Oryctolagus cuniculus: one gene and its partners. The protein of the gene in region 1 interacts with the protein of each later gene in a pairwise test. Links are inferred from orthologs where the notes say so. Each region holds a gene or a part of one and is shown on either strand. Other genes may lie near its edges.

Region 1 (10,200 bases):
GAAGGATAGCAGTCAGCCCAGACCGATGCCAGAGATTCCTCCTTTGCTGCCGGTTCTTCCCCGTCATTCATTCATTCGCCTCTCCATCCACCAACTCATTTCTTCATCAGTGAAATCTTTCTTCTTTTTAAAAGCATATTGTATTTTTTTGAGCTAATGTGTGTGTGTGTGTTTTAGATTTATTTATTTCTAAGGCAGAATTACAGAGAGACAGAGGTCTTCCTTCTGCTGGTTCACTCCCGAAATGGCCACAGTGGCTGTTGCTGTGATGATCCAAAGCCAGGAGCCAGGAACTCCTTCCGGGTCTCCCATTTGGGTTCAGGGGTGCAAGGACTTGGGCCATCTTCCACTGCTTTCCCGGCACATTTGCAGGGACCTGGATCAGAAGTGGAGCAGCTGGCGCTAGAACCAGTGCCCTCATTGGATTCTGTTGTCACAGGCAGCGCCTTTACCCGCCGTGCCACACAACACTGGCCTCTTCATCCGTGAAGTTTCCTAAATGCCCACTCTGTCCCAGGCCTTGTGCTAGGCTTTGGGGCTAGGCCTGGAGGAGGTTCTGGGAGACGTAGGCACGTATACCCGCGTTTCCAGGCAGCTGATGCACACGGAGACTGGGTAGGCATCGCATGCGACTTTAGTTTCGGGTCTCTGCAAGGAGACTTCTTTGGGTCCCACCACCTCCGTGTCGAGTGACTCTTCATCAGTTCTCCGCGGCATTGGGCACGGTTGACCACCCCTCCCCCTAAACACTTTCTGCCTTGGCTGCCAGGTCTCATGTGCTCCTGGCTTGCTTCCTCCATTTCAGACTCCCTCTGCCCTTCCTCACTGCCTTCATTGTCCGCAGCCCTCAGAGGCTTGGTCCCAGGCCCTCCTCTCACCACACACTTTGTCTTCACCTTGGGACTTGGCCCTCGCCCACAACTGCCACCACGATGCAAAGCCGGCTCCTAGATTGACATCTGCAGCTCCCACCTCTCTCCTGAGCTCCATGAAAGAACAAGCTCTTGTTGGTTTCAGCGTTGCTGACCCACAGGGGCCTCAAACTCAGTATGTGCAAGACCCAACTCACGCTCTTGCTCTCTGCAACCTGCTGCTCATGCTTCCTTCTACGGTGCTGCTACCTGCATCATCCAGTTGTGGGCAGAGCCTCAAGCAAGAGCCCCGGAAACGCCTTCCTTACTCCACGTTGAGTCCTGCCCATTTGAACCCCCAGCTCTCGGTTTGTTCCTCTCCATCCTGACCACTTTCTCAGGCTGCGTTGGGCTTCTGATTCCTAACAGGTGTTCCGCGTCCACTTCCCATCATCTGTTATTTATAGTGCAGTGCAAGTGGAACAGTCTTTTCACGATGCAGATCGGATCACGTCCCTTTCCTGCTTCCCTGCCTGCAGCGGCTTCTCCTCACCATCAAGCTAAATATTAACATTCAAGAGGCTGCACACGTGGTCCTGCACACCTGGGCACAGGCTCTCTGCAGCTCCATCTCACTCTTCTAGTTCTCTACACTAGAGCCACACTGACCTTTCCCCCAGTCTTTCCTACGTTACAGGACCTTTGCAAGACCTGGTTCTTTAAAAAAAAAAATACTTTATTTGAAGGGCAGAGAGAAAGAAGTATTTTCCACCCACTGGTTTACTCCCCAAATGCCTGCAACAGCCAGGGATGGGCCAGGCTGAAGCCAGGAGCCCAGAACTCAAACCAGGTCTCCCACATGGGTGGCAGGTACATGTACTTGTGCCATCGCCTGATGCCTCCCAGGGTGTGCCCTATCAGGAATCAGGAGTTGGAGCCGGAGCTGAGATTGGAACCCAGGTATTCTCACTGGGGATATGGGCACCCTGAGTGATATCTTCGGTGCTGTGCCAAACGCCCATCCTCACCTAGCTCTTATGCCTACCAGGCTTCTTGGCCAAATCTTCCTCATCCTTCAGCTGTCAGCTCAAGCATCTTCACTGCAGAGAATCTATCCATAACCCTTCGAATTGCTGCTCACAGTTGGCTCATGGCCGGCAGCATCTTTATGACCTTGTTGGAAGTGCAGAACACTCCCCTGAGACTCGGGTGCAGTGTTCATGGGTGCGTGTACGCACTTCTCTGGGGGACCTGGTACCTGAGAGGTACATTCTGCTCTCATGCCAGGTGAGGGCTGGCAATGGGAGTCGTGTCAATCTAAGCCGAGCAGTCCACCCAGCTCTTCTACACTGACCCACAGCATCAGCTTGTCTCCTCTGTTGAGAAGTTTCCCGAATAGGAGAAACTTTTTTTTTTCTCCTAATGCATCAAACTGCCTCCCAGCATTTCCCCTCCTTGAATGCATTGCAGCATCTCTTTGGGATTTATTTCAGTAACGTTCCCTGGGAATTCGTTTTTCTGCATCATTCTACCTGTCCTGGAAGATAATCCCTGACTTTTACGTGGTACCAGGTGGCTCATATGCAGTATTGTGTTAAGTCTTTGTACCAACCGTGTAAAACCATATTAAAAAATATTTTATTGGGCACGGCGCTGTCGTGTAGTAGGTTAAGCCTTTGCCTGTGGCGCCAGTTCATGTCTTGGCTGCTCCTCTTCCGATCCAGCTCTCTGCTAATGGACTGGGAAAGCAATGGGAGACAGTCCAAATGCTTGGGTCCCTGCACCCACATGGGAGACCCAGAAGAAGCTCTTGGCTCCTGGCTTTGGGTTGGTCCAGCTGCAGCTGTTGCTGTATTTAGGGAGTGAACCAGCTTTCTCCGTTACTCTACCTCTTAAATAAATAAATAAATAGATTTTATGGAAAGGCAGATCAACAGAGAGATTTCTTCACTGGTTCACTCCCCAAAGAGCTGCAAAAGCTAGGGCTGGGTCACCCATGTGGGTGGCAAGGGTCCAAGTATTCAGGCCACCTTCTGCTTTCCCAGGTGCATTAGCAGGAAGCTACACCAGAAACAGAACAGCTAGGACTCAACTGGGCTGTGCCATGCCAGCCCCTGAAAACCATTATTAAAGCTGAGACCAGGACATGGATGGACCGGCACAATCATCCACAGATACAGAAGTACACGGCAGACCTGAGATGTGAACTGAGACCTGACTCCAAGCTAAGTGCTTGAAATTGTTTGGAAGATGATGGAGGATGGCCTTCAACGCATAGCCACGAATTCTGTTGGCCCCAGGGTATGGCAAATGGGTTTTCCTTTGCCAGGGAAATGAGAAAGGAGATGCATCAGGCTGCCCAGAGACTAAGACTGGGATTGAAATTGGGGTGCCCCTAATCTGTTTATCTAGGGAAGACAAAGAGTGGGTCCATGGCTTAGACCTTGTTCCTCTTGGAGTGGCCCTCCTCCCCCGCCCAGCTAAGCCATAGATTCACCAATGTCACCCAAGTCCTGAGGCCCCTGGACAGCTGACACCTTGCACGGGTCTCCTGCCTCAGCCCCTCTGAAAGATGGTTTGTCTGAGACGGCCAGCAGGAAGTGGCCACTAAGGGGCTAGTTTCTCCTGGGCCAGCTGAGGAGGCAGCCGGGTTGCCTACAGTGTGGAGCTAAGAGGCTGTTGGTGCAGGTGACCTCTGCAGGGCAGCATTTTTGGAGGGTCTTGTGTGTGCAGCCTGTCCCCATCTGCACCTAAAACAAGAAGTCCTGGGGGAAGGCCTCCATGTCAGCCAGCGGTGTCTGCTTCCTGGGACCCTAGTCCTCGGCCGCTCTGGGCTGTGTCCCCTCTGAGTCAGCATCCACAGTCTGAAGTCTCCCTCACTGGCCTCCGTCCTCCCCGAGGTGGTCTCTTCACTTCATCCTATTGCTCCCAGTCACCAGTGCCGCTCCAATCTGGGGTCGGTTGAGTTTTCATGTGCTTCTTTTAACAGACTTATTGCTATCTAGGCCATCCTCACCAGCATGGCCCACTCACCACACACCTGAGAACCAGGCCTGGTGCATCACGGGAATGAAAAGTTGCTGAAGAAGCAAGCCAAAGTCCCCCAGGTTTGTGTGTCCTACAGGCATGGCTGAGGGCTGCCGGGCCCACCTCCCAGGCTCCCAAGAAGCAGAGTCAGGGAGTCAGACAGCAGAGTTTATTGAAGAGCATCCGCCAGAGGCCCGGTCCTCCTGCCTTCAGCAGGGAGGGGCGCTGGGATCTCTCCCAGACTTTCATTCTGGGGACTCCGCGTCCAGCCCTTGCTCCCTAACCCGGAGGCACCGATGCTGGACAGCTGAGTAGCCACGGGTTTCGGCCACGAGACTGTGTGGCCTGCTGAACTTCCAGAGGCAGGTGGCAGGACAGCAACCTCCACCGCCGGCTGAGGGCTCGAGAGGCCAGCTCCTCCCTGCCCATAGGGCCTGGTGCCTGCCCCTGACGAAGCAGGGGATCATATTAAATATAAATAATTTATACAAAATGGCTCGTACAAAAAGCTGCAGGTGAGGGGAGCAACAGACGCCTTTGAGAGGCTGAGATGGCGAGAAGGGGCAGGAAAGATACCTCCACTCTCCTGGCCCCTAGCACAGAGCACCCCCCCCAGGACCTGGAGGAGCTCTGCAGGCCGGGAGGTGCCGAGGGGTCCTCAGGGGGCCAGGCTGGTGAGCAGAGTGGTGAATCGCAGGGCCTGCCCTGCCAGCTCTGCCACGCACTGCGCCATCTCTTGGACGGCAGGGCCAGAGGGGTAGCCCAGGGCAGCCCCCTTGACGGCCAGGACGGTGGCCCGCAAGGCCTGGCCCAGCGCTGTACCTGCAGCCCCAACCTGTCCTCGCAGAGGTGCAGAGGCCGCCAGGCGGCCCAGGGTGTCCCCCACAAACACCAGGCGGTGGGCGGCCACCAGCACCCGCTTGCTGTGAGGCACGAAGAGGCGCGGCGGCTGGTTGGCCTGGGTGCTGCGCATCAGGGCCGCCACCGCCGTCTGCAGCGCGGAGAAGTGGCTCTGGCACTGGCCTGCGTAGAACTGCAGCAGCTGGAGATCTGCAGGGGACAGAGCCAGTGGCTCCCCTGGGCACGGGGCCTCCTGCGGGGTGAGAGGCGTGGTCAGTGCCTGTTCTCTCCGCTGCTCCCTTTCTCCTTCCCTCTTCCCTTTCTTCCTTCCTGTCTCCCATAGGGTATCCCTTTAGCTCGTAGCTCAGCCCATCAGGAAACTTAGATTCTTAGAATCCAGGCTTGATGTCAGAGAGAGCTGTGTTCAAAGAACCTCAACCTGAACTTCAGACAAAACCTCTGAGCTTGTTTCCTTCTCTCCTGGGAGTCGAGTCCTGCACTGCTCAATGTAACATGAAGCACGGAGACACTGCGAACTTCCTAGCAGCCCCTTTAAGAAAACTGAAAAGAAATGAGCGTGTTTTATCCAACTCCAAGTGTAAGGAAATGCTCTCCTTTTTTTTTTTTTTTTTTTAATTTTACAGGTAGAGTTATAGACAGTGAGAGAGAGAGACAGAGAGAAAGGTCTTCCTTCCGTTGGTTCATCCCCTAAATGGTTGCTACTGCCGGCGCACTGCGCCGATCCGAAGCCAGGAGCCAGGTGCTTCCTCCTGGTCTCCCATGCAGGTGCAGGACCCAAGGACTTGGGCCAACCTCCACTGCCCTCCCGGGCCATAGCAGAGAGCTGGACTGGAAGAGGAGCAACCGGGACAGAATCTGGCGCCCCAACTGGGACTAGAACCCGGGCTGCTGGCGCCACAGGTGGAGGATTAGCCAAGTGAGCCATGGCGCCGGCCAGAAAATGCTCTCCTTTCAACATGCAACCAAAATGAAAATTAGGGGGTCTTCCCCATAGGGAAGCTCATAATCTGGTGTGCGTTTTCCATTCACAGCCCTACTGCAATGAGATAATACGCAGCAAGAGTTCAGCGCTTGCCACTGCACACAGCACACACCACAGGAGGGATCGCTATCAATCTGTGCTGGTGCGCACCATCGGTAAATACCCGGTCAATGGCAGCTGTTGTGTTCCGACCACTGGACACAGGGTCAAGGAATGCACCTCGCTTTCCCGAGGCCCAGCAAAATTAACTGACAGCTCCAGAGCCGCAGGCTTCTCAGCGGTGGAGCCGGGATTAGGAGCCAGGTCTCTTAGGAACCCAAGAATCCACACTGAAACGAGCCCGGCTCTGACCCGCAGCCCAGAAAGTCTTTCAGCTCCCCTGGCTGCCTGGTCTCCTGACTCCTCTCCAGCGCATTCTTTCCCCTCTTTCTGAATTCCTGATATCCTTTTCCAAGTTCCAGCTCTTTCCTGTCGGATTCTGACTCCTCTCCACTCCCTGCTTCACGCGAACGCTCACCTCCAGTCTAATCAACTCCCTGATGGCTCAGCTGCAGACGCTCCTCCCAAGTGCCTGCTTCTCCTTCCCCGTCTCCCCAGCCCCCCACTCCACCTCGCCCCCCAGGGTTACCTGCTTCTCCGGCAGCTCCCTCTCCAGCAGTTCAGGCTCCCCTGGGAAGGCCTTATCTTGGGGCCTGGATCCCTGAGCTTTATCCATGCCCTGCAGAGGGGAGCCGGCCTCAGTGCAGAAGTGGGGAGCAGGGCAGTGTGGCCTGCATGGCCTCTCCACCCCTCTGCCTTCCTGCCAGTGCTTTGTCCCTGGACTCCAGGTTTGTGAGCCCTGGTGGCCCCAGGCTAGGTTTAGGGAAGGAGTGGGGCACCAGGCCAAGCAGCAGGGTCCCAGGGCTGGGGGACAGGGAGGCAGGGAGGCTCTGCCTCCGTGGCTGGCCCGCTTCTCTCTGCACAAGTCACCTGGGGCTCTCATGGGGCTGCCTAAGAGCTCACCTTCAGGTGGACGTAGTCATACTCCTCGGCCATCGGGATGCCCTCATACTCGTTGTGGGGTCCTGTGGGGTCGTCCTCCACCTCCCCACCCTCTGGGTCCCCCTCCATCTTGGGGCCCCCGTAGCCAGGCAGGCGGGGTGGGGGTGGAGGCAGGGGCCGGTCCTGGATGCTGCCCTTGCGGCCTGGGGCAGGAGAGGGAGCTGGAGAGGGGCTGGGGGCCTCTGGGACAGGCAGGGCGGGCAGAGGGCGGCGGGACAAGCTCTCGGCGGAGGGCAGCCGGGGCCTGTGTTGGGGTGGGGGGCTTCTGGGCAGAAGCTGGGACAAGGTGTCCAGGTCTTTGGAGGCCGAGGCTCCTGGGGGCTCTGGAGAAGGAGGTGGCTCGGGCCCCAGCAGGGGCACATCATAAATGCCCTCATCGGTGCCTCCGCCCTCCCCGTCTGTCAGCAGTTCCTCGGGTGCTTCGTACAGGTTGAGGAGCGCTGAGGCCCGCTTCAGGTTGGACGGTGCAGTGTAGAGGGGGGGCCCGGGTTCTCGGCCCCCCTCCCACTCTAGGTCGGGCTCCAGCTCTGTTGGTGACTTCGGGGCCAGCGGCACATCATAGGGGGCTTCCTCCTCTCCAGTGGGCTGGGGGGCACCCCGGGCCAGAAGGCGGGAGAAAGAGGCCGGCGAGTCGTAGGGGCTGCTGGAAGGCACACGGAGGGCGGTGGGGGGCACATCATAGACCTGCAGGGAGGAAGCCGGGAGTCACTCTCCAGCTTAGGGAGGGACCGCTCCCCCCAGGACACACCCCATCCCAATACACGTGGGCCCTGGCTCTCACCTCCAAGGCGTCTCCTGGGGCGGCCAGCTGGGTTGCGCTGCCTCTGGGGACCTTGTAGATGGAGTCAGGGGAAGGTGGGCAAGGTGCAGTCAGAGGCCCCGGGGCAGGACAGGGTCGGGCTGGGGGTGGCACCACGTACACCTGGGGATGAGGAAAAGTGGGTGGGAGAGGAAGAGTTTCGGATGAGGGAACTCCGACAGCAGTGGCTCAGAGAGGGTGGGGACAGACTCCAGGCAACACAGAGCCGGGGAGAGAACAGGGCTGTCCTGGCTGGGGCTGGGATGGCTCCCCACTCTCACCTCCTGGTCCTCTTTGCTGGGCTGTGGGGCTTGGGGTGCTGCGGAGAGGCTGGGCTTGGGTGCTGGCCCGGCAGGAAGGAGCTTCACTCTGTTGGCAGGCACGATGCCCTGCTGGCCGTGCAGGGAGCAGAGGCACCAGCCGTCCAGCCCGCCGGCGCCCTCCCTCTGCAGCACTCGCAGAACGTCCCCTCGGCGGAAGGACAGCTCCTGGGGGGACTCGGCCGTGTTGTCGTATAATGCCCTGGCCAGCTGGGCCTGGGGGATGAGGGCGGAATGAGGAGAGGGGTCTTCTCACACACAGCGGCTTATGTCACCCCCTGCTCAAGACCCTGCAAATTTCGAATTCCCCATTCCCCTCCAGCTAAAAATATGAACTCCCGACTGGGCCTGCCCTGTCTCTGGTTCATCACCTGTGTCCTTCCTCTTGCTTTCTATTCCTTCAACTACACAAGGTTTTTTCCTGCCTCAGGGCCTTTGCACTTGATGTTTCCTGTACCCAGAATATTCTTCCATTGGCTGTTGATCTGGCTTTTTGTCATCCTCCTGTTCTGTTTAGGATGTCTCCTTCTCCAAGAGCCCTTTTCTCCACTCTTGTCTCTATTCCAGCTGTGTCTGCCTCCACCCCTCGTTTCCTTCATAACGTGTCACATTGTTCATCGACTGACTTTTTCACCATCAGTCTCTGCTCCTACGTAGGACTGCTGTCTTTCTCGGCTTCTGCCACAGAGACCCACCCCGGACACTTCTGCTGAGTGAATTTCTTCCAAAGCACATGATCAAGTCCTGCCAAGTCCCCTCCGTGCCCTGAATCTCCTCTGCCTTCCCCGAGTCCCCCAGCCATCATGCCTCCCAAACAAAAGGGTTCCTGAAGCAGCTGCAGAGACCCCTTGGAGACTGGGAAGCCCGGTGCAGACGTAGTGCTGAGGCATAATAAGAAAGAAAACAGAAAGCGAAGCAAGTGTTTTGTTGTCAGTCTCAGCGAATAGGGCTCTACCAGAAGAGGCGGAGGTTGCCATGGAGAGAAGTGTGTGCTTGTGTGAGTATATGGGCATGTGTGCAGGGACTGGCAGACTGAGCATGCCACATGCTCATGAGCCTGCTTCGTCTGGCCAGAGCAGCTGAGCGTTCTCCACTGAGGACTCCAGCCTGGGGAATAAGTCACAGATGCAAAGTGGAAAAGATTTCTTTAGACACCGTGCAAGTCTTGGCATTGCTCAGCTCATCCCATTTCATTCTCACAATGGCCACTGTGGGACGAGCCATCACTACCCCACCCTGGGAAATGGCATACAGCTGGCACAGCTGGCAATGCACGATTCGAACCTCAGGCTGTTTAACTGCGAACCTGCACTCTCTCAGTCTCTCACTCTAGGGCCTCCCCGCAATGACAGATGTACCAGGGTATAGAGAGGGCGTGGCGCAAAGCTGAGCCAAGTGCATGCGAAGCCTGCCTTCGATCCAGCTTCCTTTTGCTGTCACCCTTCCCAGCGCTCTGTCCAGGGGGTCCTTGTATAGACTCAAGCTGAAAGGACTCAGCGCGTCAACTCAGCGTCAGCTGCAGTTATGCCTGCTGAACGGCCGAGCCTGCTGGGAGCACCCCTGGCAGTGGCGGCTTCCACAGCGGGGCTAGAGGGCACTGCCGGCCAGCAGCTGCATGGACTCATTCAGTAAAAAATCTCAAGCTAGGGATCTCGGCAGGCTGCCCCAGGCAGGGGCGCCTGTTCCTCCTGGCCACTGCCTCCCTCTGGTGGACGGTTTAACCCCCGGCTCTTGATGGGGGTTTTACCATCAAACTGACTGCTCCTGACTGGTTCCAAACTCACCAAAGCCCCTTCTCGCAGTCTCTTGGTGTTGTCCCACTGCAAAAAGGCGTGCTAACCAGATGACACAAATTCCCGGTTTGCTCTGCACTTTTCCAACTAATTATAAATCAGGGCTTTTGGCTCTAGTCAAGGGGTTAAAAACACAGTTCTCGAGGCAGGCAGACCCGGGGTTGAGTCCCAGCTCTGCCCCTGTTGAGCTGGGTGCCTTTGGCCAGGTTGTGTAACCTTTCTGAGCACCAGTGTCCTCTGTAGGATCCCGTATCCATCTCCATCCCCGAGCATCTATTGTTGGCGAGGAACGGCACTAGCCTCATGAGGCTGTCAGGCCTGGACGAGGTGATGTGTCCAAAATCACAACAAAGCTTAGCACGAGCCCATCACGAATGCTCAAGAAATACTAGATGGGGCCGGCGCCGCGGCTCACTAGGCTAATCCTCCACCTAGCAGCGCCAGCACACCGGGTTCTAGTCCCGGTCGGGGCGCCGGATTCTGTCCCGGTTGCCCCTCTTCCAGGCCAGCTCTCTGCTGTGGCCAG
Region 2 (10,935 bases), on another chromosome or scaffold:
CTTATGATGAGCCAGACTGTTCTATATTTCTTGCAGATGACAACAATTGTAAGCTTCACACCAACCCAGCGGACGTGAGTGAGGCACAAAGAGAGCGAGTGTTTGGTCCAAAGTCACACATAAGTGACAGGATGAGGACGCAAGCCCAGGCACTCTGCCTTTAGACTTTCATCTTGTAAGCATTTTCCAAACAGCCAACCAAGAAAGTGAGAAGTAAATACAGACGGCTACCGCATGTATACAGAACTGGGGGTTTTTGCCGTTGCCAATCCGAGCCACGCTCTCCCAGGGAGGATTTCGTGATGTGGAGCTCCCTGGAGCACACAGCACTGTGGTGCCACCTGTACAGGTGAGGATCATTTGGCAGAGTGAGGACGCTGTGCTGACAAACTCTCAGAACTGGCGTGCTCACTTCCCCGGGCAGGGCGGAGGCGAGAGAACGGAAGGCCATTCCTCTACACCACCCGACCCAGTGATCTGGGTTCATGAGAGTCTCTCGTGGGATGTGCGTACCTGCTGGCATGGTTTGGGCTATGTCAGCTAGGCCTTAATGTGCATTGTTTTAACTGGACCACCGCGTAGAACTGTATCAATTTTTATTGTATACTGAGGGAAATAGAAGGAAAAATACAGTAAATCTGGCTCCCAGCACTTTCATGCATTTTCCCCCTCGTCATTTCCATCTGAAAAAGATTCTTTTCATTCTCAAGCCTCTGAAGCCTCTCCTGTGGTTATGCGGAGTTTAAGAAACGTGGCAAACGCAGTGACTGATCCTGCTCTTGACTTATACCAAGTCTTTTTCTTAAAAAAAAAAAAAAAAAAAAAAAAAAGATTTATTTTTATTGATTTGAAAGTCAGAGTTACAGAGAGAGGGAGGGAGAGACAGAGATCTTCCATCTGAAATGGCTACAGTGTCTAAGACTGGGCCCTGCCAAGCCAGGACCAGGAGCTTCATCCACGTCTCTCCTGTGGGTACAGAGGCCCAAGCTCTTTAGCTATCCTCTGCTGCTTTCCCAGGTGCATTACCAGCGAGCTAAATTGGAAGTGGAACAGCTGGGACTTGAACTGGCATCTTACTCCAAGTCTTGTATCAAGTTTCTCATCTTATCCCACCTTGTCTGCTATTCTTGGTCCTCTGAGACTAAGGCTGTGCTCTGCTTTGTCCAATCTTCCTTTGAAATTCCAAAATTGGAGCAGTCTGGAACCTCAGTCAAACCTGTGCATCCCTGGGGAGCTCCCCAACCCCAGCACTACCTCCTGCAAGCTGCAACAGCCATTCGTTGGCCCTTGCTCTGAGGTTTCCACCAGCTCTACCCTCTGCATAGGTCCTGTCCTCCTAGCACCTGGCAATTCCCAGGCTTCCGCCCCTCTCCAGGAGGGTCTGATCCCCAGACCCTGACCTTTCTACAGCTGTTCTGTTGAGCCTCATTGCCCAAAAAACTCTGAAACCTTGCTTGTGCATTGGAAGCCTTTTACATATGCAGATGCTTGGGTCCTGCCCAGACTAATTAAGTCAACTATATTTGGAGACACTGCTCTATATCACTTTCTGTCCAACGCCAGCAAGCCTACAGGCAGCCTGGGATGTGTTTGAAATGCCAATGTTAATTCAGTCTATCAGGGTGGGGCCTGAGATTTTTGCATTCCTGACAAGATTCCAAGGGATAACTTAACAGTGGTCCATGGATCTTTTCTGTCCCCCACTCCACCCTCCCACCCCTGCCTATCTGAAAGGCAGAGAGATGGAGACACAGAGAGATCTTCCATCTTCTGGTTCACCCTTCAAATGCCCCTGGACTAGGCCAAGATTCAATCTCTTGTCTAATATGTATGGTAGGGACACACATACTTGCACCATTACTTGTTGCCTCCCAGGGTGTAAACAGGAAGCTCGAATGAATCAGAAGCAGATTCCCAATGGCTGACCCAAATACTACCCTCCCCACCCACCCTGCCATCCCAGAAGTTGCTTTTTAAGTGCCAAGGCTCAAGACCAGTGATTTCAAAGTGTGGTCAAAAATAATCTAGAAACTTACCAGATGGGAAACATTTCAGGACCTTCCTCAGACCTCCTGAATCAGCAACTGGGAGGGTATGCTCCAGAAAGCTGTGTTTCTTGAAGTCTTCCAGTGATCAGGGTTCACTGCTGTTTGAGATTCATTGCCTGGGTGGCACTGCCCAATAGAGAGACAGCATAAGCCACATATGTAACTTAAACTTTTCTAGTTGTAACATTTCAAAAAGTAAAAAGAAACAGGTAATATAAATGTTAGCCAAATATCTTACTTGACTCCTTTGTCCAAAATATCACTTCGATATGTAATGAAAATAAAAATATTACTATGAAAATTTACATTTTTTTCACACTCAGTCTCCAAAATCCAGTGTGCATTTCATGCTTGCATGACAATTCAGCTTTGTCTAGCCACACTTTACAGACTCAGTAGCCACACGTGCTCATCATACTGGACAGCATAGCTCTAGAATTGTGACAGTGATAATAATATTAATTTCTATCAAATGTTTGCTGTGTGTCAGGCATTACTCAGTTAAGCATTTTATCTGCATAAGCCCGCTGCGCATTGATGCGATTATTTCCATTTTATACCAAGGTGGGGTTATGCCAAAGCCCTTCCAATGCAGGTATTTCCCAGTGATTTTGCATCAGTTTATTTATGGAAGAAAGAATGAAAGCACATATATGTATATAAATCATTAATATTGAATACAATTGTTAAGACTTCAATTGTATTAGATGAAAGTCGCGGCAGTTGAGTAAGTAGAAAAATGAAACTTTACTATCATCTAACTTTTCAAATATGCCTAAAGGTCAACCTGTACTCTTCTGTGACATCAAGTCTGTTGAAAGGTGCTTATGGACAGGCTGTTTGTACTGACAGGGTCCTGGAGGAATAAAGGAGACCTTGGTGAGTGAGTGGGCAGGCTTCCTAAGTGGAAGCAGCCAGCAAGGTCATCATCACCTGTTGGTTCAAGTGCAGATTTTGACATAATATAACTGACAGGTAAAAGCGAGGCAATAGACTTCCTGTAGGATCGCTGTGGAAAGCAGGCTGCTGGCAATCTAAAAATAATGGCTGACTTAGTGAACAGTTAATCTCATTTGTTTCAAACCACTCATAATTCCTCAAGGAAGGCCTATTTTCAAATGTATTTTCCTGTTTGTTATAAATTATCATAAGAAGGGATACGTAAAAATGATTTAAAAAAAGAAACTGAGGCCAGGTGTTCAATTTTGCCTGCAGAATTGGTGATCAGTATCATGACCAAGTAAAACAAATGTCCTGTTTTAAACTGGAAGGTATTTAACACATATTAAAATGTAACAATTTGAAAGAAATGTACAGAAAAGCTCTTTATTCCACAGTGACTTTTTAAGCCCAGTGTATATATTTAAAACAAACTTTAAATATCTAATCAGAGTTTTTTGAAATATAAACAAGTATTGCGTTTTAATCTTAGTTTAATGTAATAGTTTCAATGTAAGGTGTAGTGAGCTGAAGGATTTCGCTATTTTACCTTAGTACTCAGATTAGTCATGTAACTCTTTTTCTACATGTCATAAAAAATCCTCAGTATTTTATTTAACTAGTTTCAGTGTCTTTCAGTTTTTTTTTCTTTTTAGATTTATTTTATTTAAAAGAGTCACAGGGAGAGAAGAAGAGAGAGAGAGATCTTCCATCAGCTGATTCACTCCCCAGATGGTCACAACAGCTAGGACTGATCTGGGCCAGGCTGAAGCAGGTAGCCTGGAGCTTCATCCGGTTCTCCCACGTGGGTAGAGGGGCCCAGGGACTCAGGCCATCCTCTGCCCACTTTCCCAGGCACATTAGCAGGGAGCTGGGTTGGAAGTGGAGCAGGCAGGACTGGAATGGGCATCCATATGGGATACCTGCACTGCAGGAGGGGCTTAAGCGGCTATGCCGAAACATAGGCCCCAGCTTCTTGCTTTAATGGGGGAGAAAGAAATGAATTTGATATGAGCATCTAATCCCTCATAGTATTAATTATAAAATGTATCAAGGAGATTTTTATGCTGGACCAAGATTAGAGAATTCTTTTCCACTCCTCATGTCAAGCCGTCAGCAGGACTTCCTGACTGAGGGTTCTCTGGTATGGGGAATAAATCCTTTATAAAAATGTGCAAATATTTCCTTGGCAGAGAAACTGATTTTCCTTCATAGTGATGTTGTTTAAAAGGCAATAATGAAACTACAGAAGTAGTTCCGATGTGCATAGAATCCTTTTTCAGACACAGCAGAAAGAGATCTGATGTGGAAAAGAGGCTGAAAAGTGTAGCAAATTCTGTTTTTATTTATTCTCTCTGCATGTGTGTGCTGTGAGCTTCTGATGGCAAGAGCCATTATGTTCTCAGAGTGCATGGGACACAGGAGGCTCAGGAGTGCACACCACACAAATATTTGTTGAATGAATGAATGGATGAATGAATGACTATGACTTCTAGATCTTAGTTGGTAATTCTAGAAGCTACATGAAGACTCAAATCTTGCCAGTCATTGTTGGTAACCTCATCTGAATTATTTCTTCACTGACCTCGTAAGGCAGAAACAGGGGTATCTGCATTGTGTCATTGAATGGTCCCCGGTCTCTGCCAACAGATAAGAAATGTCAACAGCTTAACCCAGTAGCTTTCAAAAATAGCATAGTTGATGAAACTGGAAATTTAGGTGCCAGCTAGAAAGAAACCATTTGTCTTCAGCCTTAAGAAGAATAGACTGACGACAGATAGTCCCATTGGGAGATCAAAAATATTTTTTTAAAATATCAGAAGAAAACTCTTCGTTCTCAGTAAAGCATAAATAAGAGCCTGGTATTTTCAGCCATTCAGGTAAAGCATTGTGCAAACTTGAAGGCTAAGGCAAGGCACTGTGTTCCTTTAAGATTCCAGACTAGTTGGTTTGGTGTTTCCAATCATGCTGGCAGTTTTCCTCAAAATTTAAGGGAATATTTGCACAATGAACCAAGTTGTTGTGGGTTTCCTGGCTGGTGCCCCCCCCCCCCAACACACACCCCCTGCGGGGTGGGGGTGGCGACTCTGGCCAGGCATTTTATCCCATTGCAGACAACTCTGGCTGCTGTTCGTGCTGAAAATAGCTCAAAAGCTCTCTGAACGGTAGCACCACCCAGCAGCTGGGATTCTTTCCCCTCTCTTACTTGCCTTCTCTGCCTTTTTTTTTTTCCTTCAGACGCTTGGTTTGGACTTAATCTTAAACCTCTGGAGTTCAAGACCTTTTAAAAAGGGCTAAATAAACAATCTCTACATGTAAAAGGCCACTGACTCCTACTTCCTCTGTTGAGCCCAACTGTGGAACTCAGCTGCCTGTAGGTAAGGTTTTTATTCTGGAATTATTTAATTGTTTTTCTATCCGCTCATGACCAGTGTTTTCAAAATAACTTAATGATAGTGAAAATAAGGGAGGGATCCGAACGATTTCCAGGTAAATACTGTGTTACAGAGTACAGCAGTAGCATCTGTGCATTTTGTGGCTGTAATTTTAAACTTTGCTTGAAGCTCTCTGTAATATTGACCTGCAATAGACTTGACTTTGACCGAGCGCTGGCTCAGAACTCTAATTAAGCCTCATTGCACAAGATGCAGCCAGAGGGCTTTTCAGACATCATAATTTTGATGTTTAGGCTATGTTCTTGTTTTTAAGGGCATTTAAAAAAAAGATACAAACACCTGACAAAGAAAATAGATTAGTAATAGTTCTTGAAAGACAAAGAGTTATATTATATGTTCTGTTTTCATCTGTTCACTGCAAGGGTGGAATCAAAACAGTTGTTTTGAGGGGGGAGATTGTTTTTAGTTTTTTTTTTAATTGTTTTGTATATCCTTAGCACAATTTATGTGGATCAGTTTTGAGAATTTCTTTCTCAAGCCGAATCTTACCTAAGCTAATCTTTTGCTAGGCACATTTGCTGGTGAGTTTGTCTAATGTGACAATAAAATATTTGGGATAGTTTTCCAAGCCTCCCCTCTCTCCCTTCTTTTGCTTGTACTTCGCATTTTGCAAAGTACTTTGATCTGTGGACTTTAACTTCAAACATAACGTTTACTTTGATTGTGGGTATTTACTATGTTCAGTTAAAAGCCTTTTTTTTCCCCTCTTTCTCAGTTTCATGCTTTGATAGCCTTTCTTTTAAATAATTTACTGGGGCTTTGGTCTTTCTCACTGATGAGCCTTAGATTTTACTTCTGTGGGGACCCTTAACCAAGAGAAAAGGGCTTGCTGGCAAGACTTCTCGCCACTTAGACACTGACAACTCACTGCTCTGCTCCAAGCAGATGTGTGAAAGCAGGCAGCAAGTGACGGCACAGGACCCAGGCTGATTCTGTCAACTTGCATGTCCTGCTTCTCAGAACTCCCATGTGCCTTGCTTGCTGGTTTTTTTTTTTTTTTTTAACATAAACACTGAAATCCCTGAAGCTTAAAGGTTTTTCTTTTCTAAAGGAGTTCATTGCTGTCACAAACCACATGTCCAAAGAACATGCATTTTAAATGCATAGTGATTTTTTGTGTAACCAAAATCTTTTTTAAAAAAGAAAAAAGAAAGCAAAGGAAAATTAAAAAAAAAAAAAAAAAAACTAGCAAACCTCAGTAGCCAAAAGTGTGCTCTACTAGTGGAACTTCTGTGTGAGGGATAAAGAATGAAAAAAAAAAAACCAAAAACCAAATTTCCTAAAATGGGCAAATTATAGCACTTACTAGTCATTCAATCCACTTGGAACTGTTCTCTTATTTTAAGGACAGTTCATGTGTGTTTTACATTTGTTTTCTTTCCTGCCTCAAGCACAGGGCCTTTTCAAAGCCCTCAGTGTGATACTGAAGCGAATGTTGCCCAGTGAAAGTGCGCTCTGCTGAAGGTTAGGAATAGGATTTATCTAATGCTGTCGGGAGACCGTTGAAGTGCCAGTCAGTGACAGTGGCTCCACAGAGCTGTCACAGTCTGCGTCCCATATCCTGCACCTTGCTAGGACAACAGGAAGCAAGTGGCCGGCTGCAGCACACGACTTTGAAAGGGTGGGAACGACGGTGAATGCCATGGAAGAGATTCCTTCTGGGTTAGGGGCTCCTGCAATATGATCCCTGGGCTTCTCCTTAGCATGGAAAAATCCAAGCAGGCATTTGCAGTAGCAGTTAAGACCTCTCTTGAGATGCTCCTACCCCCCATCAGAGTGCCTCAGTTGGAGTCCCAGCTCCTCCTTTGATTCAAGCTTCCTGCCAAGGTGCACCCTGGGAGGCAGCAGTCCATGGCTCTAGTAGTTGGCTCCCTGCTGTGATTGTGGTAGACCTGGATGGAGTTCCTGGCTCTTAGTTTCAGCCTGGTCCAACTCCAGCTGTGGTGGGCATTAGGGGAGTGAACCAGCAGAAGGGAAATCTCTATTTCTTTCCGCGTCTGTCTCTTCAACTAAATTAAATATAAATTTTTAAATGTTTGGAAAACATTTTTATGAATTTTTTTTATTTCTAAAACTTGGCACTTAATGGCTACTTCCCCCCCTTCAAATCTGCACTGGAAAGAGCATATTAATCATCACATTTTCTGTGTATAATCACCATTATAAATCCTTCAGTTATGTTAGGTATGTGCTTTGGGCATATAGAAAGCTCCGTCAGTCCTGGGAACCCCTGGCTCAGCAGTGTGCGGTGTGAATGCAGTGTTGAAGGCACTGCAAGTTCCATTGCCAAATCAAATGGCACAAGGATGGTAGACGGCCACTCCACTGCTCTTTCTTCTCCTGTTTTGTTGCTGTTTTCTTTTCTCTGATACGTGTCACCCCTTTAATTTTAACTCTGAAACTTTGGGTTGTTTGGATGTGAAACTCAAGGGGAAACCCAGCCAAAGCCTCTGAGTTTCACACCGGTCCCACATGAAAGAAGTATTCTACCCAGCCTTGCTCGAAACTTGGCCCATGTTTGCCAAAAGTTTCATGAATGTCAGTGAGCCCGGATTTGAAACATAATCCAAAGCCAGGTGACTTCTGGTGACTTTGAGGCTTCATTGTATAAGTATAGAAGCTGTCAAACAAGGACATTCCTTATTTCCATATCTTTTTACAGTAATTTCATGTGGACACACTTTTTTTTTTTCCTCCAATAAACTCCCATTTGTTCCATGATAGTTTAAGTCCAAGTTCAATCCTAATATGAGTTTTTATAGCTGTGGTATTTAAGCATTGGCAAATAGATGTCTGCATTTTACATTCCAACACAGTCTGAACTACCGTGGTGTGAACATGCTGGCATAATTCAGCTGAAAGAAGGAAGTCCCAGGAGACCCGCGGAATGTCTTTCTGTGCTTAAATATGCCCCTGTGCTCATAAAGAACAAACAGCAGCATTTTGTCCAGGTCTATCTACTTGACACTGTGCCTTTTGTTCACTCTCAAAAGGTGGTGTTAAATATACTGGTGGAAAAATAATAAACTTCTAGATTTTTTTTTTGCCTGTTTTACTGACATACTCTCAGGGAACATTGTAACCATTGCAAAGTTCAGTACTATTACTTGTAATGTAGTGTATACCAAGAATAAATGAGTACTCAGTAGACTCAATTATCCTCAAAATCTGGGCAGCCTAGAGCTGACGTGTGTGTTAACAGTCAGATGGGACGTTGTGAAATGGTGTGTGTGTGTGTGTAGTGTGTATGCATATGTTGGTGGGGGTAGGGACAGGTGGAGAGGAAGAGAGGAGAAGAGAGGATTTGTAAGCTTTTTCAGCAAATCTGTCACATCAAACAAAAATAATCAAGTCGAGGATCTGAAAACATTCTTTTCTCTTGTTGATCATATAAATTTGTGTTGGCCGCACATTGCATTTTTTGGTATTATTTTTCTCATTAAAGACTCCCAAGTATTAGGATTCCAGACATAGTAAATAATACCCAATGAAAATATGACCAATTGGGAGAGACCTAGATAGTTGTAGATGAACTTGCATGAGTCAGTCTCTGAAGGAGCTTCGTCGTCTTCTGGCTGCTGTAAGATGCTAAGTCACCCAGGAAGCTTAGAGTTGATTTGCTATTTTCTTAGTGGGAAGGTTTCTAAACTCTCTTGAAGAATTGTTGTAAAAATGAATTTGTTGCTTCACTAACGCCTTAAACAGACTAAACTTAGTAAGATTTGTAGTCTACACTTATTAGAAAATTAAACTGCTATCAGATTTCATGTTGAAAATTTTATAGTCACTATTCTATTTAATACTATGCACTTTTATTTAAGATACAGTTTTAATTTAGCAAAATGATGATAGTTGGTCCGGTTATTGGATAAAGCATTTGAAAACTAGCAGTAACAAAACCTGGGGTTCCTATTCGTAGGAGCTGTAATTTGGCACCAACTTCACTATTCAAAGAGCAGCATTTATTGGTATATCTGAATTGATGTCCCCAAAGTAAGTATAATCAGCAGAGAAAGGGCAGACGCTTAAATGGAGGTTCTGGAGAATGTAAGCAAAAAACAATTCAGAACCTCCTACAAAGAGATTCTCTCAGACCACAAGTTTATTTGTATTCCAGTGTGAGTTATTGCAGTTATTAAGTTCAACTTTCCTGTTTTGAACACAAAAATATTCTTTTACTTTAAACACAAACTATTTTAGGTCAGAAACAAAATATCCATTGTAATATTTTTGTTTTTTTCATTTTTTAAATTTTATTTAAGTTATACAAGTTTCATGTATTTCATATATACAGATTTAGGAACATAGTGATACTTGCCACCCACTCACACTCCAACCCTTCTTCTTCATCCATCTCCCATTCCCACTCCTAATTTTTACAAAGATCGATTTTCAGTTTACTTAATAATCATACAGTTAACCCTACCCTATGTAAAAAGTTCAACACATAGTATGGAAAAAAAAAAAAAAAACATTGTTCCTCAACAGAAGAGACAAGGCCTATAAACAATCATCAAATCTTAAAGTGTTCATTTCATTCCAAAGCATTATATTTTAGTTACTCTATTAGTTAACTTGGATCACCCAGTATTTTCTTTTAGAACAATTTTAAATTGACAAAAGAATTGTGAAGATAGGACAAGAGTTCTCATGTGTCCCACACAAAGTTTCCCCTATAATTAATATCATACATAGCATATAGTGCCTTTGTTAAAATTAATGGGCCAGTATCTACAAATTGTTATTAAAGTCATAATGAACAGTCATATTTCCCTGATTGTCACCTAATGCCCGTCTTGTGTTCCAGGGTTCTATCTGGAATACCATGTCACATTTAGTCAATTATATCTCCTAAGGCTCCCCTTAGCAGTGACAATTTCCTTTCCTTTTTTTCTTTTCCTTGAGATGGCCTTTGACAATGTGAAGAAATGCTATCAGGTGTTTTGTAGAATGTCCTCCTATTGAAATTTTTCAGAGATTTTTCTAATGATCAGACTGAGGTTATGGGCTTGGGGGTGGAAGACCACAAGAAAAAGTGCCATTCTCATCTTATTATATCAAGGATACACACAGTCAGCATGACAAATCACTATGGATGTTGACTTTGATCACCTGTCTGGGTAGTGTTTGTCAGATTTCTCCACCTACGGAGTTACTTTCTCTTCATTCCCACACTGTACTCTTGTGGAGAAAGCAACTGTGTGCAGCCACATGTTAGGAGTGGGGACTTGTACTCCTCCTCCTTTGGGACAGAGCACAGAGCATTTGCATAAATTATTTAGAATTTTTCTACATGGGAGATTCGTCTATCCCCCCCATTTTCAAAATTCAATCATTTATTCATATCAGTTTGAACACATGGATATTTATTTTGTACTTTGGATTATAATCAAATACTACTTTACTTATTTTGTTATTCAAATTGTTCCAGCTTTGGCCATTCATGAGTAGTTTGTTCGTTCAGTTGAATCCCTTGTCGTTTTGACAAACAC
Region 3 (10,031 bases), on another chromosome or scaffold:
TTCCTGACTCTCCCTCCCGCAGCCCGATGGGGCCCTGATGCCGGTGCCAACGTCCAGAGGAGGAGGAGCGAGCTCAGGGAAGACACAGCCAGGAGACTTAGCAGGGACCAGAGGACGGGAGTGCTTGTCCTATGTCCCCCTGGCTGCCCCACGGGGGAACCCGCAAGGGGTCAGGACCTACAGAACGGCCCAGGTGCACCCTGAGAGGTCACGGTCAACCACCCAGAGTGACTGTCACCGGCCAAGAGCGGGAGGGGCTCGGGCAGGGCTGGCAGGGCCTCCAGGTGCCTCCCCCACGGCGCCCGCAGCAAGGCCACGCCCACCTGATGAAGATGAAGATGGCTTTGCGGTAGTTGGTCCCGTACACGACCCAGGAGGGGCCCAGGAAAGGGCGCAGGACCTCCATCAGGCCCGGGGGCAGCTTGTCCATCTCGTCGAAGAGGAAGAGAGAGCGGCCACAGGCAGTGAGGTTGCCCTGGACCCAGCTCTTAAGGTCCTTCTGGGGGGCAGAGACGGGAGCTGGAGGGCGGCTGCAGGTACCCCTCCGCCCCCGACGTCCCCCCCCAGCCGGGCCTGCCCCTGCCAGGGACTAGAGCCTTCCAGACGGTGCCACGGGGCCAGAGAGAGGCAGACAGCTGCCCGCGGCCACACAGCCATGCCGGCCTCCGCCTCCCTGTCCAGGGCTCCTCCTGGGGCCCTTGCTCCTCCCTGCCCCGGGAGCGCTCCCAGCCGCACCGTCAGCGGTGCAGAGCGGCGGAGCCAGCAGCAGCAGCAAGAGCCCGTGTTTGCCACGGCGGTGGTCCACGCGCTCCGGCAGCAACGCGGGCACCCACACGACCCCTCGCGGCCACCCTGCCGCCCCCCGCGAATCAGAGACCTCGGCCAGCTCTGTCCCAGGCTCCGGGCGGCGCAGGCGACGGGTACCTTGTAGCGATCCATGAGGCTGGGGTGGGGGAAGTGGATGATGGGGGAGAAGTGGTGCACCCGGGGGCTGCGGAGGCCCCCCTTGAAGAGGTAGCGGGCCAGCAGGGAGCTGAGGTAGGACTTGCCGGTGCCCGTCCAGCCGTGCAGCGAGAGCACCAGCGGCTTGCTCGGCGCCGGGTCCCGCACGAACGCCTTCAGCGTCTTCACCACCAGCGCCCTGGCCAGGTGCTGGCCTGCCAGGTGCTGGGCCAGGTCACACTCCAGACCTAGGGCCACGGAAGCGGAGGCGGCGCTCAGGACACGCCCCCACAAGGCAGCGGCCCAAGCAGGACGTCCCGGCCGGAACCGGGCTCAGACGTCTGTCCCAGCTGTGGACAGAGCCCTGGGAGTCGCTGCGGGAGCCGCCAGGCGGTTCTCCAGGGTCCTAGATGAGGGGCTGCCTCCCGCCCCCTGCCGTCCCCTGCTGTCCAACGGCTCCCGCCACCCCGGCGGCCCTCCTGGACCCCAAAGGGCACCCCGGCCCTCGCCTCGGCTCCCTGCCTCAGGTCCGGACCCCTTAGGCTTCCGGCCTCGGCCACCCTCGAGTCCGCGGGTCCCTCCCCGCCGTTCGGCCCTCTGGGTCCACAGCTGTTCCGGCCCGGAGCAAGCCCGGAGCAAGCCCGGGGCTCCCGACGCTCCCCCGCCCTCCGGCCCGGCTCCCGCGGCTCCTCACCCGGGAAGTCGGGCCGGAAGTCGCATTCACAAAAGTCGCCGAAGTTGCAGCGCAGCGAAGTCAGGTCCCAGGAGGCGGCCGCGGCCGAGACCAGCCCGAGCAGCCCGAGGAGCGAGCCCCAGGGCCGGCGGCCGCGCGTCACAGCCGCCATCCGGGCGAGGCCCGCGCTCCACCTGGAGCCACCCTGGCCCCGCCCTCGAACTACAACTCCCGGCGTGCACCGCTCCGAGGAAGCCACGCCCCGCAGCCTACAACTCCCGGCTTCCCTCCCGCCCTCCTCAAAAGGCCCGCCCCGTCGTTCCGCAGCAGGACCGGAAAGCGGCCTCTAGGAGGCGCCCGCGAGCCGCCCAATCCGCGTTTCCGTAGCCACCGTAACTAAGGTGCCGTCGTGGTGGCTCAGAAAGAATGATGCCCTCGGAGGGTGACGTGACAATTGTAGGGAGAACTGGTGCGGAACCTTACTCCACGCTGTTTTTCTTCCTTGTAAAGGACGAAAGAGCGCGCACTGGTGGCTCTTAGCGTGCCCTTAGTGCCCTACGGCACTGGCCGGAGCGGTCATCACTGACCCCTCGCGAGGTACGGGACCTGGCTGGCCGTGCCGGACACGTAGCTCCCTCATGGCCCCCTTCTCTCAGAGGAGCACTCAAGGGGAGAAGCCATCACCCGCTAGTACTCCGGCTGCTGCGCCGGGCCCCATCCCAACCTGCCAGCCTTGCCGGAGCTGAAGGGCCAGCTCCAGGGGACCCCACTCTGCGGACAGCCCCTCCCCACCCCGCCGCGGCCCCCGGCGAGCCCCGGAGTCCTGCGGCCCGCGCTGCCCTCCCATCCCCATCCAGGCACACACAGACTCCGGGGCCACAGCTCAGTCTGCAGGAGAGTAGCTGCTCCCACCCTTGGGGAGTGCAGAGGGCCCTGGGGCGGCCACTGCAGCCGGCTCCAATCCGGGGTGCGCCCTGGGGCGGCCACTGCAGCCGGCTCCAATCCGGGCCGGCAGCTGCCCCCTGCACTCGGAAAAGCCTTCCCCGGCCAGCACCTTGGGTCCTTGGTGGTGGGTTTGTGGGAGCCGGCGTGTGGGTCTCAAGGGGGGAAAGGGGTCAGATTAGGGGTTCCCCCCGCCTCGGGCCTGTGGGTCCCTCCCGGGCAGGCGATGACTTCAGCACTGGCGTAGCTCTGGCCCCCGGCTCAGTCTGCGACGTCCCCGGTGCTGCGGAGTCTCTGCCGGGCACCCAACCCAGAGAGGCTCCCTCCCACCCTGGGCCCCGATGGACAGAAGAAAGTCATAAAAGTTTATTATATGAAAGAGAACGTGGCTCTGTACACGTATTTACAGGTAAACCCGGTGCCAGCAGGGCAGGGGAGAGGCCTGGAGCGGAGGGAGGCGGTGTGAGGGGCTCCCCTGGCTCAAACTGGAGTCTGGGGGCAGCAGCAGCAGCAGAAGCTGGGGCAGGGGTCCCTGTTCCTCCCGGAGGGCGACCCGGGGAGGGTGCGGGGGGGGTGCCCAGAGTCCACGCAGGACCCTGAAGTGCAGGGGGGTCCTGGCGCTGGACTCAGAACATTCTTGGGCTGATCACAGTGTCCCTGGGGTGCTCTGAGCCCTGCCCCCCGGTGCCGCCCGCAGCCGCAGAGGGCAAGGTCCCCGGGGTCACAGCTCGCTGGAGCGGACCGCGGGCTCCAGCTTGTGGGACAGCGCAGTGAGGACCTTGTCGAACGTCTCGTAGCGCCGGGCCTGGCTGTTGCTGGCACCCTGGCTGCCCCACAGCAGGCGCATCTGGAACTCGGTGCTGAGCACCTCCAGGAGCTCGGGCCGGGCCTGGAACCCTGCAGGGAGGGGGTGCGGGGTCAGGGCACCGCCGGCCGCCGGCCCCCACGCGCAGGGCCCCCCCCCCCAGAGCGCCACGGGATTCCTGATGAGCGGGTGCTCTGTCCCTCTGCACCGTGTAATTTTCAAGAAATTCAAGGATTGACGTTAACTTTTGGGGAGATCTTAGGTGTTTTCCTTTGTATCTTTATATAAGTTCCAAATGTTTTCTATTATATATATATACATATTTTTAAGTAAATATAAAAATATGTATTTTTCTGAAAAAAGAAAAGGGGAAGATGTACATTAGAATGTTTGCAGCGTTTACTGCTGGGTTATTATGGGTTAATTTTTTTTTTAGGATTTATGGATTTATTTGAAGGCAGAGGGACAGAGAGAGAGGTCTTCCAGCCACTGGTTCCCTCAAATGGCCGCAGTGCCCAGGGCTGGGCCGGGCCGAAGCCAGGAGCCTGGAGCTCCGTCCGGGTCTCCCGTGTGGGTGCGGGGCCCGGGCACTCGGGCCCCCTCCGCTGCTTTCCCAGGCCACAGAGGGAGCTGCACTGGAAGTGGAGCCGCCGGGCTCCAGCGACGCCCCTCTGGGTGCGGGCACCGCTGGGCAGGGCCTCACCCCCTGCGCACGGCACCAGCCCCTGCTCCGGGCGGTTGTTTAATCTGATTTTTGCTCAGCTGTAATTTCCAAGTTTTCCTCTGGTGAATTTTTATGACTTAAATAACGCAGTGAGCACCAAAAGAGGGGCTGTGGGAGGCTTCTTGCGCAGAGGGAGTTCTAGGTCTTGGCCAGACCCAGCTCCTTGAAAACTGGGCCCAGGAGGCCCACTTCACAGACGGGAACACCAAGGCTGGCGGAGGTCAGGGACAGCCAAGGGCTCTGACCCTCACCTGGCCCCTGCCGCTAACAACGGCTCCCTGAACTAGCGAGAGAGGGCAGAGGGGCGAGGGGGACCGGGCAGGACAGAGGGGTGAGGCATGGGGCCCCCCGCGGGGCGTGGGAGCGGCAGAGGCGGGGTCCCGCGGGGCGTGGGGAGGGGGAGGCAGAGGCGGGGCCCGCGGGGCGTGGGGGCGGCAGAGGCAGATCCCGCGGGGCGTGGGGAGGGGGCGGCAGAGGCGGGGTCCCGAGGGGCGTGGGGAGGGGCGGCAGAGGTGGGTCCCGAGGGGTGTGGGGGCGGCAGAGGCGGGGTCCCGCGGGGCGTGGGGAGGGGGCGGCAGAGGCAGATCCCGCGGGGCGTGGGAGGCAGAGGCGGGGTCCCGCGGGGCGTGGGGAGGGGGCGGCAGAGGCGGGGCCCGCAGGGCGTGGGGAGGGGGCGGCAGAGGCGGGGTCCCGAGGGGCGTGGGGAGGGGCGGCGGGGCAGGCCGGCGGGGCCCCGCACTCACCCTGCAGCTTGACCTCGGCGTTGGTGTGGTACAGGCCCCCGTGGTGCGCCACGGTGCGCGCGGCCTCCAGGTGCGCCAGCACCACCTCCACGCCGTGCTCCGTGCTGCCCCAGGGCTGGGGGCCCTCGGCCGGCGCCGCGTCGTACTCCAGCAGGGTGATGAGGGGCAGCACGTGCGGGAAGGTGGTGCTGCTCAGCGGCGGGCCCTCTGCGGGGGAGGGGGGGGGCGAGGGTCAGGTGGGGGCGGGGCAGCCGGGTCGCGGAGGGGGAAGGCGGGGCCTCCAGGTCGCGGGGGGGGGGGGGCGGGGGGCCTCCCGGTCGCGGGGGAGGGGCGGGGGCCGCTGGGTCGCGGGGGGGGCGGGGGCCTCCCGGTCGCGGGGGTGGGCAGCGGTACCTTTGCCCTCGTTAAGGCTGCGGAGGAAGGGCTTGAGCTGCTTCTCGTACAGGATGGCGCCCTCCGTGTGCCGCTGGCGCAGGGTCACCCACGTCTGCTCCAGCCGGGCAATCTGGGGAGACCGCGCTGTGAGGGGCCAGCGGGGCGGCCGGACTGCCCCGCGCCGCCCCTGCCGTGCCCACGGACGGGGCGGGGCCGGACCCCTGCCGTGCTGGGCGAGGAGGGCCGGGGTCGCCCCACTGGAGCCCGCAGCCCTCCCGGCCCGCTGCGCCTGCCACCCCGCCCCGCCTGAGACCACGGCCTCGCGGGGCTGCCTGGACACCTGCCACTGCGCCGAGCACGCAGGGCGCGCGTGCGCTCTCTCAACTCGCGCCCCTCGTCCGTCTGTAGGGGGGCCGGGGGCCCAGGGCAGGGGCGGGCCTGGCCAGCCTTGGAGAACTCAGCTCTACGCTGGCTCTTTCACCACGGTGCCCGGAGCCCCCCAGCCCCTCCTGGTTCGTGCGCGGCCATCGCGAAGGCACGCGCCCCAGGCTCCTCCAGCCTCGCCGGGCGAACCCCACGGTACCTGGGCCATGTCCAGGGCGCCCATGACCGCGGCGAAGCTGAACATGTTGCCCATGGTCCCCCGCAGCTCGGCCGCCAGCTGGATGGTCTTGTGCAGCAGCGCTGCCCGCTCCTCGGCCGAGCCCGTGCAGCCCAGGATGTCCACGGCCAGCATGATGGACATGGTGTGGAACCTGTCGGAGTGCCAGGTCAGGGGGCGGGGCCGGGGCCGGGGTGGGCGGAGAAGGGGCGGGGCGGGGAGCGCGGGTGGCCCAGGATTGGAGGCGCGGCCAGGGTGATGGCCTCTGATTGGTGGGTGTAGGTTGGGGCGGGACCAGGCCGCCAGGCGGAGTTTGTGATTGATGGTGGAGGTTTTAAGAATGAACGGGGGACTGATGGGCGGGGCCGAGGCTGACGGACAGCGAGCCCACTGGTCCGAAGGATGCGACCGCGGACTTAGGCTTTGGGAAGCCAGGGTCGCTCCGAGCTGTAGATGACGCGGTCGTGACTGGGCAGCGGGGTGGGGGCGCGGCCGGAGGGGCGAGGGCTCCCGCGGGCTCCCCGGGTCCCGGCCGGCCAGCGCCTCACCTCTCCAGCAGGTCCCGTCGAAGCTGCCGTCCGTGGGGGAGGGTGAGCAGCTCCATGCCCCAGCGGACTCCCATGAGGGTCTGCATCTCCTTGGTAACGCCCAGTATCCTAGCAACCTGCAAGGACGCCCAGAGCGCTGATTAATTTCCTGTTGGTGCCGACCCGAGCTTGATTGGAGGGTGTAGCCGGCCAGGGGGCGTGTGTGGACGCCACAGCTCCACCACTTAACCCTGTGGCACGGAGCGCGGGAGGGCGCCTCAGTTTCCCCATCTGTGAAATGGGGCATCAATGTCACGATGTTTGTAAAAAGTACCTGACGCTCAGATGAGCTTGCCCACGGCTCACCCTGGGCCTAACCCTGCAGCTTTCCTGCCTCCCGAGCTCCGGGACCAGTGTAACCAACCAGCTCCTCTGAAGGTCGAGGGGAGCGCAGAGAAAACTGGGGTCCTCAGATGGTCAAGCGCCATCCGCGACACACCGAGGGCCCAGCTCTGCACGAGCCACGGCTGCTGCTCACTTGGCCACTAGGGGGCGTGGGGGCGGGGAGCCGGGCCTTGCCCAGTCCCTGGACCCGCAGGCGCAGTCTCGGACTCTTGGGGTCCCCAAGGGCATCCGGCCCCCGAGAGCCCTGCGTTTCAGGGGCTGCCTGGTTCTAGCGCCAACCCGGCACTGGTCAGAGGCAAGAATCCCTTGGCGTTTGCACTTTTAAGAGGAGACCACGGAGGCCCGGAGGGAGAGAGTGGTTAAGACACAGGCTCCTCCCGCCGACCCCTGGGCCAAGCCAGGGGCCAGAGGCGCAGCCCCCGCCCGCACCTACCAGGCAGTCCACCTTGGTGAGGTGCCGGGCCAGCGTCCGGGCGTCCACCTCGGCCAGCAGCTGCTTCACCTTGCGCAGGAGGCCCACCTCCAGGGGCCGGTTGTCCTTGGGCATCAGCAGGGACTGGAAAGTGGCCGGGCTGAAGGAGGAGGTGGCTTCCACGACGGGCACAGTGAACGCCTCACCCCGCTCCCGCTCCCGCTCCCGCTCAGGGGCCCCGTGGCCCGACAGTTCCTTTGGCCTCTCCCCGTGGTTCCTGGCCTGCCGGCTGGAGGCATCTAGCACCGCCCACTCCCTGCTGCTTCGGACCGGAGGCTGGAGCTGGCAGTAGTGGCCGCAGTCCGTGTCGCTGTAGCCGCTGAGCGACGGCGACGGCGAGGCCTTGCAGAGGCTGTGCGAGGGGCTGGCGTGAGGACCCTTGTCCGGCTCCCCGGGGGGCTTTGGGGTGCTTCCTGCACACAGCTGGGGCTCACTGGCGCGCCGGGCGACGGGGGAGGCAGGCAGTGCTGTGGCAGAGGGGGCTGCGGGGGCGGCGTGGACGCGGGTCACTGCGGAGGGGCAGAGAGAGAGCACTCGTTACCGCAGCGTCGGCGGGACGGACGCCGTCCTCCCTCCAGGGTGAGGCCGGGGCCAGCAGCCCTTGTGACGTCCTGCAGGCTCAGGCTGTGCCCTGCACCGGGTTCGCCTGTCCCCCAGGGCTGCCTGTGTGGACTCTCATCCCCCTCGGGGGTGTTAAGATGACAGAAATTGGGGCCGGCGCTGTGGCATGGCCAGTAAAGCCTCCGCCTGTGACGCCGGCATCCCACAGGGGCGCCGGTTCAAGTCCTGGCTGCTCCACTTCCGATCCAGCTCCCTGCTAATGCGCCTGGGAAGCAGCAGAGGACAGCCCAGGCGTTTGGGCCCTGCACCCACGTGGGAGACCCAGAGGAAGTTGCTGACCCCTTGCGGCCATCTGGGGAATGAACCAGTGAATGGAAGCGCGCGCTCTCTCGCTCTTGCTCTCGCTCTCTCTCTCTCTTTTTCCCCCTCTCTCTCTTTCCCCCTCTCTCTGCAACTCTGCTTTTCAAATAAAATAAAATTTTTAAAGATTGATTTATGGGGCCAGCACTGTGGCATAGAGGGTGGAGCCGCCGCCTGCAGTGCCGGCATCCCATTTGGGCGCTGTTTTGAGTCCCGGCTGCTCCACTTCCCATCCAGCTCTCTGCTGGGGCCTGGGAAAGCAGCAGAAGATGGTCCAAGTCCTTGGGCCCCTGCACCCATGTGGGAGACCCGGAAGAAGCTCCTGGCTCCTGGCTTCAGATCAGCACAGCTCTGGCTGTTGCAGCCATCTGGGGAGTGAACCAGCGGATGGAAGACCTCTCTCTGTCTCTCTCTCTCTGCCTCTTCTTCTTTGTGTAACTCTGACTTTCAAGTAAATAATAAAACTTTAACAAAAAAAATTGATTTTTTTTTTATTTGAAAAGCAAAGTTACAGAGAGAAAAGAGAGACAGACAGATCTTCCATCCGCTGGTTCACTCCCCAAATGGCCACAATAGCCAGGGCTGTGCCAGGCTGAAGCCAGGAGCCAGGAGCCTCCTCCAGCCTCCCACATGGGTGCAGGGGCCCAGGGACATGAGCCACCCTGTGCTGCTTTTCCCAGGTGCATTAGCAGGGAGCTGGACCGGTGGCAGAGCAGCCAGGACTCGAATCAGCACCCATATAGGATGCTGGCACTAAAGGCCGCGGCTTAACCTGCTGTGCCTCCGTGCCAGACCCTCACAATCAATAAATCTTAAAAAAAAAAAAAATTAAATAAAGCAGCCGAGGCGCCAGGCCTGGAACTTGCACTCCGATGGGGGATGCTGGAGGGACTCTGTCCGGAAGGCCAGACACACACACACACACACACACACACACACACAGAAACACTCCAACCGAGCCCGGGCAGAGGGACCTCGGGACTGCTCCTCGCTCCTGACGCTTCGCTGGCCACGTGGACAGCATGGCTGGAACCTTTAACTGCTCTAAAGAACAAAGCATATTTTTTTTAAAAAATCAAAGCCCAGCCAGTCCTGTCCGAGCCGGCCACTTGGGACTGGGGACACACTCAGCCACCAGAGGCCCCCACCCCAGGTGAGGCAGGAGCCGCCCCAGTGCACTCCGCAGCTCGTGGGCCCCAGCCCGTAACACACGGGGCCTCTGGCAGGCCTCACCGATGCCCGAACACACTCTGGGAACCCCTGCACAAGTGCCTGGCACCCGGAACCTTCTCTGCCCAGGGCCACGTGGATATTCACCACGTCATCCGCAGGCCACGCACGGACGATCAGCTCAGGAGCCAGCCTGCGGTGGTTACTGAACTCTGAGTCCCACCCGCGGTGGCCTTGGCAGGGCCGGGCTTGGCTGTCCTGGGGGCTGAGACGTTGCCCGCCCCCGTGTAGGGGCTCCGTGAGCCACGGCTGGAGGAACAGGCCATGTCCGTGGCTCACGCGTGGGCATCGCGGTGCTGCTAGGCTCCCCCCGGCGCGTCAGTGCGGCCTTACCGGTGCTGTAGGCGGGGGAGCTGGGGCTCTCGGAGATGGGAGACATGGGCGAGTGCAGGTCCGGGATCTGGTCCATGCTCAGGGCGCAGTTGCGGATGGAGTCCCGAGGGTGGGCCGGAGACGCGCTGTGGACAGACAGCGGCAGCCGTGAGCGGCGGCCCCGGCGCGGGGACTCGGCCATCTGGGCCGCCCACCCCCTCCCCCTGACCATCGGATGCGCCCTCCCAGGGAACAGGTACAAAAGCCCCAGGAGGAGGAAGGGCTGGAGCCGGTCACACAGAAGGTCGGGGCAGAGTGGGGAGCCAGGCCCTGGCTCCAGGGCCAGCACCCTGCTCCCC

The links.
Region 2: the proteins of EFS (region 1) and SORBS2 interact in binary tests that used the Homo sapiens proteins (3 or more experiments, as listed by UniProt). The two-hybrid records come from large-scale screens. The link is inferred for Oryctolagus cuniculus from reciprocal best matches to the Homo sapiens genes EFS and SORBS2.
Region 3: the proteins of EFS (region 1) and SH2D3C interact in a two-hybrid assay, tested with the Homo sapiens proteins (2 studies listed by BioGRID and IntAct). The two-hybrid records come from large-scale screens. The link is inferred for Oryctolagus cuniculus from reciprocal best matches to the Homo sapiens genes EFS and SH2D3C.

The regions. Positions count from the first base shown.
Region 1 is NC_091443.1:51,684,001-51,694,200, reverse strand, and holds the end of EFS (embryonal Fyn-associated substrate), read right to left. Parts: intron 8,098-10,200; coding exon 7,843-8,097; intron 7,685-7,842; coding exon 7,544-7,684; intron 7,447-7,543; coding exon 6,724-7,446; intron 6,440-6,723; coding exon 6,350-6,439; intron 4,972-6,349; coding exon 4,537-4,971; 3' UTR 4,034-4,536; downstream 1-4,033. UniProt on the Homo sapiens protein: Docking protein which plays a central coordinating role for tyrosine-kinase-based signaling related to cell adhesion. May serve as an activator of SRC and a downstream effector. Interacts with the SH3 domain of FYN and with CRK, SRC, and YES.
Region 2 is NC_091433.1:67,761,614-67,772,548, reverse strand, and holds the start of SORBS2 (sorbin and SH3 domain-containing protein 2), read left to right. Parts: upstream 1-5,223; 5' UTR 5,224-5,361; exon of another isoform or gene 5,362-5,365; intron 5,366-10,935. UniProt on the Homo sapiens protein: Adapter protein that plays a role in the assembling of signaling complexes, being a link between ABL kinases and actin cytoskeleton. Can form complex with ABL1 and CBL, thus promoting ubiquitination and degradation of ABL1.
Region 3 is NC_091432.1:231,183,576-231,193,606, forward strand, and holds the end of SH2D3C (SH2 domain-containing protein 3C), read right to left. Parts: intron 9,819-10,031; coding exon 9,694-9,818; intron 7,719-9,693; coding exon 7,171-7,718; intron 6,470-7,170; coding exon 6,354-6,469; intron 5,960-6,353; coding exon 5,788-5,959; intron 5,335-5,787; coding exon 5,223-5,334; intron 5,037-5,222; coding exon 4,830-5,036; intron 3,455-4,829; coding exon 3,279-3,454; 3' UTR 2,909-3,278; downstream 1-2,908. Other genes in the region: TOR2A (prosalusin), read right to left, coding at 324-499, 925-1,190, 1,637-1,787. UniProt on the Homo sapiens protein: Acts as an adapter protein that mediates cell signaling pathways involved in cellular functions such as cell adhesion and migration, tissue organization, and the regulation of the immune response.